Drosophila melanogaster: one gene and its partner. The protein of the gene in region 1 interacts with the protein of each later gene in a pairwise test. Each region holds a gene or a part of one and is shown in the gene's direction. Other genes may lie near its edges.

Region 1 (6,446 bases):
AGAAGCCGGCATGGAAACGGGCTCCAGTGAGATCTAACTGGACGCAACCCGTGGGATCCTCGACATAGAACTTGCCCTCTTTAAGCTGGGTAAGTAGCCCCAAAACAACTGCCTCCTTCATCGCCGACGTGGCCAGCAGGTTCTCCGCGAACTGGAGCTTAAATTTCTTGGCCTGGGCCTCGGCCCCAACGCCATCCTGTATGACGGCTGGGGCAAAGAGATCGTGTCGCAGAGTTTTCTGTAGTAACATGGCATATCGTTGCTGCATGTAGTCCGATTTCATGCGCGGGGCGGTCAGCAACTGGCGCGGCTGAGTGTCCAGTTCGAATTTCTTTATCCGCTGGTTGTACCGAAAACGGGGCACCGTAAAGGCATCGATCAGGGCAAAGACCGTCTCCCCTTCATCCAATCCCACCCGGTTAAGTTCATTGATGGCCTTCTCCAGGGCGGCTCGCTCCACATGAGGCGTCAAAAGCTTTTGGCTTTGGAGATTCTCGGTGATCACCGTCAGCCATTTGTCCCGTTCCGCTGCGTCAAAGGGTAGCAGCTGCTCCGCCAGGTAGGAACTGTTCTCCGAGCGGATCAGGAATCCACATAGCTTGAAGGTGTTTGTTATTCGCTTTCTCAGCGGCAGTAAATCCACATCCATTGTTATTAAAAGTTTTTTCGCGCGCAAATTAGATATGGATGTTGTCAATTATCGATATCTATGTGCATTTGTGTGACCAGCCGAACATGAAGCTAAAATAGAAGGCCTAGAAAGTAATCGAAAATTGGCGGAAAAAAGTGGAGTTCAAAAAGTTGATATTTGAATGGTTTATTCAAAATAACATATATTTAACTATTTAAGGTTCAAAAAGAGGGCTTTAAAGAAGTTGGCTTTTGTTTAGTACATATTTATAATATTAAATGTCGAAATGCCCCCCAGAGATTGTGAAAAGTATGAGAACTTCTTGCTGTTCATTGGGGACTTTGGCCCCTTTCAGAAGCGACTGCTGTTTTGGATGATGCCCGCCGCCTTTCTGTTCGCATTCACCTACTTTGGTCAGATATTTATGATACTGTTGCCAAAGAATCACTGGTGCAGAGTACGAGAACTAGAGGGACTGCCGGAAAGTGAACAAAAGAATCGGGGAATCCCCAAAAAGCAAGATGGCAGTTTCGAGAATTGTTTTATGTACAATGTGCCCTACGACTCAAATGCGACCAACGATGCGAATCAGACAAGGAGCCCGATACCTTGCAACAATGGTTGGATCTATGATCGCAAGGAGGTGCCCTACGAGTCCATCGCTACCGAGTACAATTGGGTGTGCGACAAAAGGGATTTCGGGACATATAGCGTCGTTGTCTACTTTGTGGGCTGTATTGTTGGTTGCCTCTGCTTTGGATTCATAACCGATCATTCCGGTCGCTTGCCTGCACTATTTCTGGCCAACTCCTGTTCCATGATCGGCGGTTGCGTAAGTGTGGTCTGCAAGGACTTTCCCTGCTTTGCTGCCAGCCGATTTGTGGCTGGACTGTCAATGAACTACTGCTTCGTTCCCATTTATATTCTAAGTGAGTGTTGCAGAGTCAATTAACATAAATCATAAATTTAAATATCATCATCACATTCTTTTCAACAGCTTTGGAGAACGTTGGCATCAAGTATCGCACACTGGTGGGGAACTTAGCCCTCACATTCTTCTTCACCTTGGGCGCCTGCTTGCTTCCCTGGCTGGCCTATGTCATCAGTAATTGGAGGCACTATGCCATGGTCGTTGCCCTGCCAATTGTATTCATGATATTGACCAGCTTGCTGGCTCCAGAGTCACCAAGGTAAATTAATGATAACAATAGGTTTTCAAGCTATCTAAACTTCATTTCCCACTGCAGTTGGCTTATGTCGGTGGGTAAAGTGGACCGGTGTATTGAAGTCATGAAAGAAGCGGCCAAAGCCAATGGAAAAATCATTTCCGAAGAGGTTTGGTCCGAGATGCGGGAATGCTATGAACTTAAATTTGCCAACGAGCAATTGGGAAAGCAGTACACCAGTCTGGATCTCTTTAAGACATTTCCCAGGCTCGTCGTCTTAACGATTTTGATTGTCACATGGATGACTGTGGCCCTAGCATACGATGCCCATGTTCGCGTAGTCGAAATCCTGGACACAGATATATTTATAACCTTTTCCCTTTCCTCGCTCGTTGAAATTCCTGCTGGAATCGTACCAATGCTTTTGCTAGATCGAATTGGTCGCAAGCCCATGATGTCGGCTGTCATGCTATTGTGTGCAGCATCCAGTCTCTTCGTTGGTATTCTAAAAGGACATTGGAATGCATCAACGGCAGCGATTGCAGCCAGATTTTTCGCCACAATGGCCTACAATGTGGGTCAACAGTGGGCCTCTGAGATACTGCCAACCGTGCTGCGCGGTCAGGGACTGGCTATTATCAATATTATGGGTCAGATGGGTGCCCTACTCTCACCACTTGTACTCAGCACCCACCGCTACTATCGTCCCTTGCCCATGTTTATTATCACATTGGTGTCCGTGATAGGCGCTTTAATAATCTTGTTTCTGCCGGAGACCAAGGGAGCTACGATGCCACAAACGTTGGACGAGGCGGAAAAGCGCTGGACGTTACGTTGTAGAGATCGTAAAATAAACGAGGATCTTTAAAAAATTAATTTAAAAACTTATTTTGAAATGGCGCCGATAGACTGATAAGTATATAGCCAAGTTTCCCTGCAAGGTTTGAGTCTTCGGTGCGAGTTTGGTACATTTATTTAGTATTTTTTAGCCTATTCGTTAAATCTAGTGCATGGTCACAGTTGTCAGCACGTGGAATTGAATTTTGCTGTTTATACGCTAATTCCCTGAAAATGGATGTTGTTAAAGAAGTTCTGGCCAAACACCAAAAGGAATTGGACAAATACAAGCCGATCACAGTAGAAAAGCATTTGGAATGCCGACTCGACGTTGGCAGCCTGCTGATCACAGATCCCAACGATTTCGATGACCGGGAATTGAGGTAAGCGGCGGTTTCTAGCGAGGAATACTGATTTTTCACCAGTTCCATTGTTTTTAGGGACAACAAAGAGGAGTACCTGACCGCACTGACACGGGAGAACACCCAACTTTTGGTCAATGCCATTTGGGAGTTGCCCACCGAACGGGTAGACGAGAGCATTGTGGCCAAGCTGCCGGAACCCACGACGGTACTGCCCCGCCTCCGTAAGCCGCCAGGTCCACGTCCGCTCACCAAATGGGAGAAGTTCGCCAAGGAGAAGGGTATCAGCAAGAAGAAGAAGGACAAGAAGACCTACGATGAGACCATGGATGCAAGTTTTTGCTCTTTAATCTTGTCAAGTCACAATCTAAACCTTGAATCTTTATAGAAATGGGTGCCTACATATGGTTTTAAGCGTGCCGAGGCCGAGAAGGCCAAGGATTGGGTGCTGGAGGTGCCACAGAACGCCGATCCCAATACGGACATGTTCCAGAAGAAGATCGACCTGCGCAACGAGAAGGTGGCCAAGAATGAGATCCAGCGGATGAAGAACATTGTGCGCGCCAAGAAGATCGACATGCCACGCAGCGGTTACTTGGGACCCGAGGCTGCCTCATCCAGCCAGTTGTTAACGGCCGTCACTGTGGCCAAATCCTCCACAGCCTCAGTCGGCAAATTCCAAAACAAACTGCCCAAGGAGAAGGAGGCACGTGGTCTGGGCATTAAAGAGCTGATTCCCGGCGGCAAACGCAAGCAGTCGCATATCACACAAACGCCGGAGAAGGAGGCCAACCTGGATCTCATCAAGAGCGTGCTGAACAAGAAGCCCAAACTGGACGTGAGCAAGGCGGTATCGATGGAGAAGCGCGACAATCGCTTGGCGTAAGTTTAACCTTTATCGTTAAATGAGCATAGTCTAAAGCTTAAACCTTTATTTCCTCAACAGACGCGAAGCAGAGGCTGAGAATGAACCAGGCAAGAAGGGCGGCAAGAAGCCCAAGGGCAAGGGCAGTCGCAAGGCGGTGGGCAAGAAGTCCAAGGGCAATCGTGGTCAAAGGGCTCCGGGCAAGAAGGCGCAAGCCGGTCGCAAACGTCGCTAGGAAGAATTACACATGCCTTAGGACACTTTAATTAACGAAAAACACTTTACACTTATGCTTAATAAATCTTAGCCATAAGACAAAACATAAACTATGTTCGGTAAAAACGCAAATTCACTGGTGACGTGTGCCGCTTAAGGTATTGATAAACGAAATTACGGAAAACACGGTTGAAATTGCGTATGGAAGGCCAGTGCAGATTGGCGGCATTGTCCCGAGGCGTGTGCCAGACGTCTGGGAAAGGAGTGGCTACCAAATGCAGCACAGGAACATCTGTATGGAAAACGTCTGTGATTATGGATACACACTAAAGACATCAAACTTACTCTCATCTAAAAACGGTCGATGATCATCGTCGACTAGACCACCGCTGACACGACTTAAAAACATATTGTTATTGCCCTCCAGCTGGCCGGCAGTGCGCAGAGATTTCTCAATCTGCACGAGACTGGAGTGCAGTCCGTCGGTGTTTTCATAAAAACTGGAGAACTTGGGATTCCGCGCCCCAATTAGATCCAGCAGCACCAGAACTTCCTGTTATTGATACAATCTTAGCAAGCTGATAATTCTCGCAAAGGTCATTGACTTACAATTCGATCTATATTGCGTGGAGCTAGTTGCGCCTGGGAACCACTGCGTTTGCTAGCCAACTTCGCGGCCAGATGCTTTGATCCGTATACAGAGTCCGCATCGGTCCACTCCTTAAAGGCCTCCTCGCCATCGAAGAATATGAGCTGGTGGATAAGAAGGTTGGATTTTCAATAACTATAGGAAAAATTCTCTACTAGATCTTATTAACATAAATCAACTTTTTCAATGTAATACTAATGTCGTATGCCTAATTTCAAATGGAGATTTGAATACCAAACATGCAACTTGTTTTCGCTCAGGTTTGGTATAACTGGAGTTCATGGAAAATTTATTTAGCCACCAAGGTCTGTGTTAATGGGCACTAAGTAAGCAACTTACCATAAGTCCCACATCGCTGCGATTGCGAAACTCTTTCTGCAGATACGCGCCCAAGGTCTTGGCGGTGTTCAACAGAATGGCACAGGGCACGGCGGAGTCAGTGGCGCCCACAAAGCCGGGATCATTGGGGAAGTACTTGCTGTCGTAGTGGCAGGCCAGAGCGAGAAAGTTCTGAGCCTGGGGATTGATTGTGCCCACTACGTTGGCAAACGTGAGTTCGCCGAAAACTGGAACTCTCTGCTTGAACTCATCCACTTCCGTTTGGAAGCCAAGGCCGTTCAGCGATTGGACCAGGTACTCGCGCACCTGTTTGAAATGTTAATATTATAACGCCAAGTAATACACTTGAAGCTTTATCACCCACCTGCTGATGTCCCCGACTGCCAACGACGCGTGGCACCAAAATGGAGTCCAGGGTGCGGTTGAAATGGACCTCATCGTCGCGCCACTGGGATCCAATCTGGAATATAGATGGGTCTCTCTGGTTAACCTAACAATGCCTGGTTTCCCAAGTGAGTCACAATGCTTGGGGTACTTACGTTTCCCGCTGTCGCTTGCTGATGCGACGGCGGGAGGAGGAGGAGCAGCAAGCCTGCGGCGGCAAAAACTACGGAACCGATCGCCATCTATACGCTTCAGAGCTCGGCGACGCACTAAAGCCCGATCGGTGGCTGAAAAATCGATCTTTACCGTAGTTGATGTTGTGGTTTCCGATGCTGATGGCTTTTGTTTTCGTTTTCCGCTGCCTCTTTGGCGGCAAACTCACTTCGAAAGCTTTGAACCTTCGTTCAAGAGAGTTTTTAAGAGTGAATCATGTTGATGTTGCGGTAAATGCAAAAAGCTTTAAAGCCGCGTTCGTTGGGGAAAAGTGAGCCGACTAATTGGTGCTGATAACGATAATTACCTTAATTACATTAGTGTACGTTTAGTGACTATGCACTTAAAGTCTAGAATGAACACTAAGTTTAAAATGTCTCATACTAAACCAAAGTTTTCATTCGAAAGTTATTTTAGGTGTATAATATACATTTTGGGAATTAGTCACTTTTTAATGCTATATATGTTTTATAAAAAATGTAATCTAATTGAATTTAGTCATCATAAAAATCATAATTTATTGCAAAAGCTTGTCGCCATTTCATAAAGTATTGCCACTTTTCATAGAAATCATGCACAAAACAGCGAATAATTTTGATCATATTGCGAATGGTAGGATAGTGTAGATTCTCGACATTGTCCGCTGGCGTATAAAGAACATTTGGAAATTCATGTGGACTCACATGAATGACTGGCACATCTATAGATGAACAAATACACGTTATAAAATAGTAGTATAAAATTAACTATGATATTACCTTGTTCGTCGAATACAATATGATCG
Region 2 (10,395 bases), on another chromosome or scaffold:
TAACAGTTCCAGTATTTTCAAGGTCTTTGAAAAATTATAACTTTAACAAGAGAGGAGGAACTCATTCGAGTTCCCCGACTATTCATCTAGTGGAAATGCTAACACGAAATTTCATAATTTGCGGATAGATTTTGTTAAAGTTTAAAAATTGTTCAAAAGTGTGGTTTTCGGAGTTTTGTGGGTATAAAGTGGGCGTGGCAAGAAGTTGGTTGGCAAATCGATAGAAATTTTCAGAACTGGAAAAAAATACCAAAACATCAGGTATAAAATTACAATACATTCCGTAGAAATGCATGTTTAATAATTATTAAGCAACAAAATCAGCCGTATTTTTCGACAGATCAGATACTCGATACTCAGCATATCGATGGGAACGATAGGAAAGGTGTAGGAGTGGCAGTAGCCAGTTCGACTCGGCTAGTGATCCTGATCATATATGTATATATATACTTTATAGGGTAGGAAACGCTTTTTTCTTTCTGTTTCATACTTCCAAGGTCTTTAATAGGTGCTTTCACTAAGAGTTTCCAGTGTTGGAAGACGAATTCTACTATCTGACCCCCTCCCTCCACACCATGACTGATGGCCAGGTGGTATGATCAAAGACACTAGAATAACAAAATGCGTAACGGCCATACATTGGTTTGACAAAAGACACTAGAATAACAAGATGCGTAACGGCCATACATTGGTTTGGCACTATGCAGCCACTTTTTTGGTGACGGCCAAAATTGCTGTCTGTCCGCTCGCTTACAATGAGAGTGTAAGAAATCTAAAAATAGAATTTGCTTGCTTGTGTAAGTAAAAGCAAGAGACCAGAACGCGTATATGTGTGCGTGTTGTGATAGAAAACGATTTTCGGGCCGAAATCAATTCTGATTGAAGAAACGAATTTACATATTTGAGGAGTTTTGTCCGATTTCGTAGCAATATGACAAAATTGCGCGCTTTTTAAAAATATCAAATTGGAATATAACAAAAAAAAACTGAAATCGAACAACTGAATCTAATGTGCATGTTAAATAATAAAAATTGATCATTTACATACATCATATTAAGTCAAATGACTTAATAAATATACTAAATAATTAAGGAAAATACCAAGGAAGTATAACTACTGTAATTTAAAACATAAATTTCCCAAATAGAAGACATTATATTGAGAAATAAATATTCCATAAAAATAATACGTAGTAGAAAATACAAATTTATAACATAAACAAAAATATGAAAACTGTTTATTGGAAGTATATCTTGAGGCACGAAGTGCAGACGAAAGCACTCAACAATGTCTTATTAATTTTTCACAAGTCGCAAGCTGAATCATTCATTTCATTTCATTCAGTCATTTTTAAAATTTATTTTGTGACATTATGATTCGGCTTTTACTATTTCTAAGCTATATTTAAATAATAATAACGTTAAGGCAATGCAAAACAAGAATTTTTCGCACGGTGCCAATTGATCAAAAATAATATAGATTTAATGTCTATGAACTTCTAAGGTGAAGGGCATACATATGTACATATATTGTCAAATTTACAATGCATGGATACGTGTGCACACACACAGTTGTCTGCTATCACTGTATGCGTAGAAAAGAGCTGTGCGCTGTAGCGCTCTCCGCTCTCTCGCTCTCGAACAAAAATTCGAGGGGGCCTGGAGCCACGGCGAAAAAACCGTGTGCCAAAAAATCGTAAGACGTTACGCATCCTGTTATTCTAATGTCTTTGGTATGATAATCTTTAACAATTTATTTCAAATTATTACTCCCTTGGACATGGTATGTGACGACAAATTCTCACCATACGAAAAATATGAAAAACTTTGATTTTTAATAACTCGACATATGGCTTTATTTGTACCACATTTCTTCGTACTGTGCCATACCATCCCTATTTTGCCATCCTTACGATACCGCCGTCATTATCTTCATTAATGGGTGGGTAGAGACCGTTAGGTCAATGCAGGACGGCATATAGAAATTGGGTGACGCACTCTTAGACCATAACCAAAACTATCGTATATTCTCAAAAAAAGGGGACTATGACTATAAAAATAGCTATGTATTTAACTCTAAACCTCTATAGATTTTGATAGACCATGACATTGTGTGGAACATGATGTCATTTTCTAGACATTGTGCACGAAGATCATTCCCGAAGTCGACCGAACACTTATTCCGTGCATGTTTCATCAGACCGCCGGCAGCATATTTTAGCGTTAGGCGTGCACTTCCTTGTATAACTGTGTACACCTACAAAAAATTTCAAAATCAATCTATCGGGCACGCTCCGTTAATCGAAGTACTTTACGATTTCGATTTTAAAGATTGGTGCTCCGGTTTTCAAATTCGTAAGGATTTTCGATGTGTATAACGGGCACTTTTGTCTGGCCGAAATGAAAAGTATATGCCCATTTTTATATCACGTTAGATCTTAACCAAGGGAAAAAATAGTTCAGTAGTCTATTGATTTATATTCATTAGTTATTTTATATACAATTTATTTCTGACCCCATCAAAAATTTGATATACAAAATTTTGCTGTCGGCAACAAAAATTTTCGATTTGGCATTTTAAAACGCAAGATCGGTGCTCCGGTTTTCAAATTCGTAAGGATTTTTCGATTTGTAAAACGGACACTTTTGTCTGGCCGAAATGAAAAGTATATGCCCATTTTTATATCACGTAAGATATTATTTACCAAGGGAAAAAATAGTTTACTCAGTGGTCTATTGATTTATATTAATTATTTATATTCATTATTTATTTTATATACAATTTATTTCTGACCCCATTAAAAATTTGACATACAAAATTTTGCCGTCGGCAAAAAAAATTTTCGATTTGGCATGGGGTCATGCGTGCGTCGACTAAACTTACTTATAAAATATAAAAGAATTAATTATCTTAATTTAAAAGATGGCCTATAGTGTTCGTAAGTAATGCTATTTAATTTAATTAATTAAACGGTCAAAATGCAGTAAAAAATTAAATGCGAACATCGGAATTAAAATTGTGAAAAAGGTGTCCGCTGGAAAACAGCTTAAACAGCTGTTTACTGTACAGAAAACACTCCGACAGCAAAAAATTTTACGAAATCAAATCGAATTCGGAAACAAATTACGATTATTCGGTAATGCATGCCTGATTATAATTTCTTGATTTGTTTTATATTAAATTTAAAATTTAATAGTTTAATAATATAAAAATATTCTTATTTATATTATATATTATGAGTATTTCAAATGTAAATAATCATATAAACTATTTTATAAAACATCGACGTTACATAAATAAAATTTATTTTTTGTTTTTCAAGTGTAAATAATAATATTAATCATTTTAGAAAACATTCGGCACCTTTACTCGACGCTCATACGAACGGACAGATATGCTTAGTCTGGTATCGCTTTAGCACCAGTAGGAAAAACCTAGAATTTCTTTTCCCACAAATGTCACAACTTCAAAATTCCATTGTTTCACGGTGTTTCTCTTTTAATGTTTCAATATTAATATATATAATGCCTTAAGGTTCAATAAGAACAAAATATTTTCAATGTCTATATCCCACTCCAATTTAGCGTGATATTCACAAAGCTAATCGCAACATTGTGAGCATTAAAAATTGTTATATATGTATGTAAGCGTCTTGGGATTATATTCTCATGAAACTCAACAGTCATATATATGGCCTTAAAATACGTATATATATATATATATATTAATTTTTCAAAGTGTGTGTTTGCATAAGTGGTGTGTACTATTTGTATATTCATTGTACAATTTCTCCCGTTCATATAGGAGAGTGTTCTGTTTTTAATAATTTTGGATATCTTAACTTTTTCGACTTTCTGTAATAAGTTAGATTACACAGTGAACTATAGTCCTTAGCAATGGATACATCAAAGATTAGTGCCAGGTATGTGGATTAAATATTGGTAAATTTTAGTCAACTTTTTCGATATTATTCTCGCGTACTGTTTTTTTAAACTTGTATATGTACTAACATTGTTTTAACAATCTGTTTCACATTAGGTACTCGAAAGTAGACCTGTTAGCTCTAAGATATGAAGGTAAAAGTCGACAGCGCCCGCAATGTTCAACACGACTTGAATTGCAGACGCTAGGTTTTTGGAAAATTAATCTGAACACAGCTGCGTTAACCGTGTCCAGCGCCTATTCTAATCAAAACAAGAATCGACTTTCTCCAGAAGCAGATAACTCGAGCTTAATTTGTTCCAATAGTAGCTCAATAAGTTCACGTCGCGCTATGAGAAATCGAGAACGGGCAAACAACTATTACCAGCGCTTCGTACCTACCGATTCTCTTCTAATAAGTGGGGAGGATAAAGATAAGGATGCGCTTTCTCATGGACAGCCCTATAAGTTGAATATCATCGATCACCGTAGCATATCATCTTCACATTTAATGCCGGCATTTGCAAAGAGGCGTTTTGTCATATCGAAAGGCAGCAACAGCGAGGAAAGCAACGAGGGGATAAACACTTGTGCAAGCAAGGGCAAGGCAGCCAGTTCGCCTAGCCGTAAGGGTAGCGAGTTGGATACTGCTGAGACATGTTTGAATTTTGTTCAGCCGGATCACGACCAATGCATGTCATCTTCACCTACATTTTCAACATCCCGCCAAGAAAGGCGGATTGGTAGCGGTCGGCTGTTGCCAAGAAGTGATAATTGGGATTACAAAAACGAAAAGACCGTAGAAGCCAGCATTGAGAATGAAAAGGAAACATCTCCAAATGGATCTGGAAGTACAAGCAGTCTTAATCAGCACAATCAAAGCCAACATCGTTCTCGAACATTCAGTGGAAGGTTAGTTGAACGTGTTCCCGAAGTCACAGATCGTCGTTTTCAATATGACTCCAAAAAGTCTTTTGATCGTCAGGGAATTAATAATCGACGCATTTCTGGTAAGGAGCCTTTCAGTACTCAAAGCCGAAGCAAGCGTGGCAATTCCTATCTCATTCACGAAGAACCTGAATGGTTCAGTGCAGGACCTAAATCACAGCTAGAAACTATTGATCTACACGGGTTTGAAGACCTGGAAAAAAACGAAGAGCGATCCGTAACTGAAGATAAAAATAATCAAATTCAACAACTTGATAAAAATTTAGACGCGCAAGCAAGCAAAGATGAAGCTTCGATGAGAAACAGCAATGATAGTTTAAATTTCCGCGAAGTCATTCCAAGTGATGAAAAGAAGCACACTGACGAAAATGTAGTGACTTCTATTCAAAACTCAACAGATCTCGGCCATCCCAATAAAAACAAACCAATTCAGATGCAGCCCAGTCAGAATCCTGAAAGTGAATTTAATTTTGATGCCTTTCTTAATATGCATCCCTTGGATAATTCCGTTTTGGTAAATATATTGCAAAAACTAGATTTTAAGGAATGAGTACCTAATCCATTCAGACATTACATGGACAACTTCCGGGTTACCTTTTATTGACGGATCAATAATAGTATTCAAATAAGCTGTAAATAATGATATTAACTCCCGTTACTCAAGTAAAGGGTAAAGAGTTAAAGGGTATACTAGATTCGTTGAAAAGTATGTAAACTATATATTCTTGATCAGGATCAATAGCCGAGTCGAACTGGCCATGTCCGTCTGTCCGTATGAACGTCGAGATCTCAGGAACTAAAAAAACTAGTATGTTGCAATTTAGCATACAGATTATAGATACGAAGACGCAGCACAAGCAAAGACACTAGAATAACAAGATGCGTAACGGCCATACATTGGTTTTGCACTATGCAGCCAATTTTTTAGTGACGGCCAAAATTGCTCTCTTTCCGCTCGCTCCCGCTGAGAGCATAAGAAATCTAAAAATAGAATTTGCTTGCTTGTGTGAGTAAAAACAAGAGACGAGAACGCATATATGTGTGCGTGTTGTGCTAGAAGACGATTTTCGGACCGAAATCAATTCTGATCAAAGAAACGAATTTACATTGTACATATTAGGGTAGTTTTTGTCAATTTCGTAGCAATATGATAAAATAAAATAATTTTTAACTGACTATTATCATTTTAAAGCTTTTTAAATTTGTTTGTTAAAATCGCCGCTCGAATTAGCTACCGTTTACACATTTATATTTATGTTTAATTCTAATTTGTCTCTCATCTGACAATTTTTTAAAAGCGAAATATTTTTTTTTTTAAACACTTTTAATGTTAATGTTACATCATATTAAGTCAAATGACATAATAAATATAGTAAATAATTAAATATGATAACTGTTTATTGCAAAAGTCATATCAAAGACACTAGAATTATTCTAGTGTCTTTGCTTTGTTCATATCTTGAAGCACGAAGTACGGACACAAGCACTCAACAATCATTGCCTTATTAATTTTTCACACGCCGCAAGATGAATACTCTAATGACAAATATTCTTATATAAAGTCATTTTTGAAATTTATTTTTGTGATAATATGTACATAGATTTGGCTATTTCTAATCTATTTTCATATAATAATAACGTTAAGGCAATGCAAAACAAGAATTTTTCGCATGGTGCCAATTGATCAAAAATAATATAGATTTAAAGTCAAAGAACTTCTAAGGTGAAGGGCATATTTTGTGAAATTTACAATGCATGAGCATGCCTGTGTACACATACAGTTGTCTGCTATCACTTTATGCGTTAAAAACAAACAAACAAACCGCCCAGAACTGCCACGCCAACATTTTTGAAAAATGTTCTGATATTTTTTCATATTTTTATTAGTCTAGTAAATTTCTATGGATTTGCAAAAAAAAAAGTTTGCCCCGGCAACTCTAATACCCTAGAATTTATATTTTAAAGGTAAGCTTATTAATTTTAAGATATATTTATTGTACATTTGCAGAGTAATGATGAAACTGGAAAAAGTGACTCAAAAGGAACATCCCGTTTTAGCCGATGGTTTCGACAAAAAGAAGCTGCAAATAATAATGAGTTTCCAGGGTTTCGGGAATCGCATGCTCAAGAAAAACGTGGTATGTCAAGATTTGTAATAATATATCAAAGGCCTTATAGTTCACTTTGTTCTTAAGGTATTCCAAGTGTTAAGGATCTGGAAGCTCAAATGATAAAAGTGGATATGAGGACTGATTTAATAAATCCAATAGCAGGGTCATTATGTCAGACAGTGCAAATGGAAAAACCTATTGCTAGAGACACTGAGGCATTCAAAAAACTTTTGCAACAGTTGGGTTCTCAAGCCAGGCAGCATCATCCATGCAACGACGATTGTCGTACAATAAACCTCTCAAATATAGCAAATCATGTACACCTTGAGTCAAAATTACATCAAAAAATAAATGATGGTCATTTGCAGCAACCAGAGTTAAGTGTTAACGTGCCAACCATGCCAACTAGTAGTCATGTATTTTTGCAAAAGCGTTTGGAAATCCAACATTTAATTCAAAGTAAGATATGTTTCAAAATTCCATGTCTATAAACTTTTTCTTGAATACTTAAGTCCTTTTTCTTGTCCTTATGGTAAAATAATATAAGGTTTCTGGCTGATAAAACACATGAATGTTACAGTTTACCATATACATGTTTACCATCAGAACGGGAACTTATTTAAAGCGTATCTGGTAAAAACCACGTGTTCTTATTTTAATGCTTTTATACCCTGCGCTGTATTTAAATATTATGAAAAACAAAATGTTTAATAATAAATAGGACTTCATTGTGGAGACGTTTCACATGATTTTTTGGAAAAAGAATTGGATAATCCCAGCACCCCAGCAGCCACAAAGGATGTCATTGCCACAGTGTTGAATGAATATTCTCATTCTAAAAGAAATCCGGTGGTCACAGGCGATCCCAATATTTTTACCCAACAATCGTTTCTTCAGCCTCAATCAGTCCATCAGCACTACTCTCAAGGTAAGTAATTCTTGGTTATATGGTAACTCTTTAAAATTCAATTAATATAATATTTGATTCAGTTAAAGTATCTTATTTATTACTAAAATTATTTGTAAAAATTCCTTAATTTTTTTCTAGAATTGCATTCGCAAAATACTGCTAACCATACGATTAATCAGCTAATTTCCCACGGTAACTCTCCAACTCCGTTGGCATTTACTCCTACTTCAGTTTTAAGAAAAATGACAGCCGATAAGGATACGCAATCACCAAGCACTTATTGTCAGAACCCACAATATCATGTACACCAACAAAATGCCAAGCAAGTCGGTACTCGTGAGAACGTACTTGAGCCACAGCTGACCGCAACAATGGCTGTACAGCCCCGAATGATATTAGGCGGTGGAAACTTTGCCATTGGCCAAAACAATCAACATTTGTCTCCCAACATGTCACAAAGTCGTAATCAACAAGTGTTAAAGTGGACTTCTGGCAATATGCAAATGGTCCACGGAAAAACATTTGGTAAGTTACACAAAAAAGTGTTAGCTATTATTAAAGTACATTTATTAGTTAAAGCTTTGTTTTTTTTTTTTTGCTATAAGTTTTTTTTACTCGTTCTCATAAACTTAATGTAAATGTATATGAATTTCAAGAGAAATTATAAAAATCGTTGAGTTACCATAAAAAGCGTGCAAATACGCAAATACAAAATTCAGTTCTTAAAAGAGGATAGTATAGGATAGGAGAAAGTGGATGCTTTTTATACCCGTTACCCGTAGCGTAAAAGCAAAGACATTAGAATAACAAGATACGTAACGGCCATATATTGGTTTTGCCAAAGACATTAGAATGACGAGTAACGCCATACGTTTTTTAGGATTTTTGTTGACTTTTTCATCAATTTATTAGTCTCTTAATCAAGTAAATTTTCAAAAGTTTTGGTGGCTTTGTGGGCGTGGCAGTTTTGGCCTGTTTGTGGGCCTTAGAGTGTCCGCAGCATCATGACTCTCTCAAGCTTCTCAACTCTCTAGCTTCTATAGCTCCTGAGATCTCGATGGCCAGATCGACTCGGCTATTGATCCTGATCAAGAATATATATACTTTATATGGTCGGAAACGCTTCTTTCTGCCTGTTACATTCTTTAAAACGAATATAGTATATCTCTACGAGAACCGGGTGTAAATATACAACCTGTAGAATAGCTAAATTGGCTTTTTGAGACACGACGTGCGTGCACGTATATACTTACATAATATAGAGAGTATTTTTTAATAGACCAAAAAATAAATATTCATATACACAGTTTGCTTAATTTATATTCTGTGCAAGAAGTGTACCCTACAATTTTGATTATTCTTGACTTATTGGGGTAATGAAAATTACGATTATTTAGTGGAATTTTTTGAAGTGGACTTTGTTTTAATGTAGTTATCTGTGACCCAAAGCAATATTTTATTCTCTAGGAATAAATATCTTTGTTAAACAACGCGATATAATAAACTTGAGATCTTCGACTTCTGTATTAATGGGTTCAAAGACTTACACATTATTATTTTGACTTACATATTTTAGGCCGACCTATTCTGAAAGGAGGTCTTAATTCAATGCCGCATTCCAATTCTGCACTTCCTTTTACTGCCCATAAAATTGAAATGCAACCCATTCATCAACCACATCTACAGCAGCAGCAACATAGATTTAAAGCAGTTCAATCTGTGGAATCAAATCTGAATACCGAAAGTGTTCACCAAAACATTACATCTCCTGTTGGATGGCACCAACTTTACATGCAACATCAGCAACAACATCATCACACACGACAGCAGCTTAGTCAAAGAGTGATTTATGGAGAAATGCACCGTCAATCAAATCCACAAATGTCTCCGCCAGTCCCAGGTCGAATATTGCAAATAAAATTAGTTTTATAAATCATCTAATTAGTTGTCTTTATTTAAGGTTTTTCTGACAGCTCCGATTCCGGTAATGTGATCAAAGCAAACAGCCTCACATCTCCTAGCTACCAGAGAGATGAGAGGATTTCATCACCAACCAATCAATTGGCGCAATGGTTTTCCCCTGAGCTTCTTGCAAAAGCCTCTGCTGGAAAACTGCCACTTTTAAATGTGAACCAAGCACTCAGTTTGGAAGAATTTGAACGAAGCATTCAACATTCCTCAGGCGTCGTGCATAACTAACTCTTGAAGATAGTTTTAAGTTCAATACAGCAAATTTTAAAATGACACCGAAATCAAATATTTTTTTGTCTAAATTTAATTTCTTCTTTATGTTAAGGAGTATGTCTGTATGGGCACAAATCTATTAAATAATTCTGGAAACAAAATTTTTAGCATATAAAAGTAGTTTTCTATAAATAAATATACATTAACTTAAACTATTTAATGTATTTACAGAATGTAATTATTATATTGTACAAAACTATTTTACTGTAAATAACACGCAATTATATAAGTTTAAAAATGTTTACTTTTCTTAAATCTCA

The links.
Region 2: the proteins of CG32409 (region 1) and 4E-T interact in a two-hybrid assay, tested with the Drosophila melanogaster proteins (one large-scale study listed by BioGRID).

What each region holds. Positions count from the first base shown.
Region 1 is NT_037436.4:5,896,731-5,903,176, forward strand, and holds CG32409 (uncharacterized protein), read left to right. Parts: upstream 1-2,797; 5' UTR 2,798-2,868; coding exon 2,869-3,017; intron 3,018-3,074; coding exon 3,075-3,327; intron 3,328-3,384; coding exon 3,385-3,878; intron 3,879-3,942; coding exon 3,943-4,096; 3' UTR 4,097-4,187; downstream 4,188-6,446. Other genes in the region: PolE2 (DNA polymerase epsilon subunit 2), read right to left, coding at 1-649; CG5592 (uncharacterized protein), read left to right, coding at 918-1,560, 1,629-1,821, 1,879-2,665; QC (glutaminyl cyclase), read right to left, coding at 4,188-4,369, 4,423-4,630, 4,687-4,830, 5,066-5,371, 5,430-5,525, 5,605-5,691; CG32413 (uncharacterized protein), read right to left, coding at 6,157-6,362, 6,421-6,446.
Region 2 is NC_004353.4:951,534-961,928, reverse strand, and holds 4E-T (eIF4E-Transporter), read left to right. Parts: upstream 1-3,536; 5' UTR 3,537-3,897; coding exon 3,898-3,923; intron 3,924-4,039; coding exon 4,040-5,384; intron 5,385-6,878; coding exon 6,879-7,008; intron 7,009-7,065; coding exon 7,066-7,440; intron 7,441-7,702; coding exon 7,703-7,909; intron 7,910-8,029; coding exon 8,030-8,416; intron 8,417-9,467; coding exon 9,468-9,791; intron 9,792-9,851; coding exon 9,852-10,090; 3' UTR 10,091-10,387; downstream 10,388-10,395. UniProt on the Drosophila melanogaster protein: eIF4E1-binding protein that regulates translation and stability of mRNAs in processing bodies (P-bodies). Probably plays a role in P-bodies to coordinate the storage of translationally inactive mRNAs in the cytoplasm and prevent their degradation.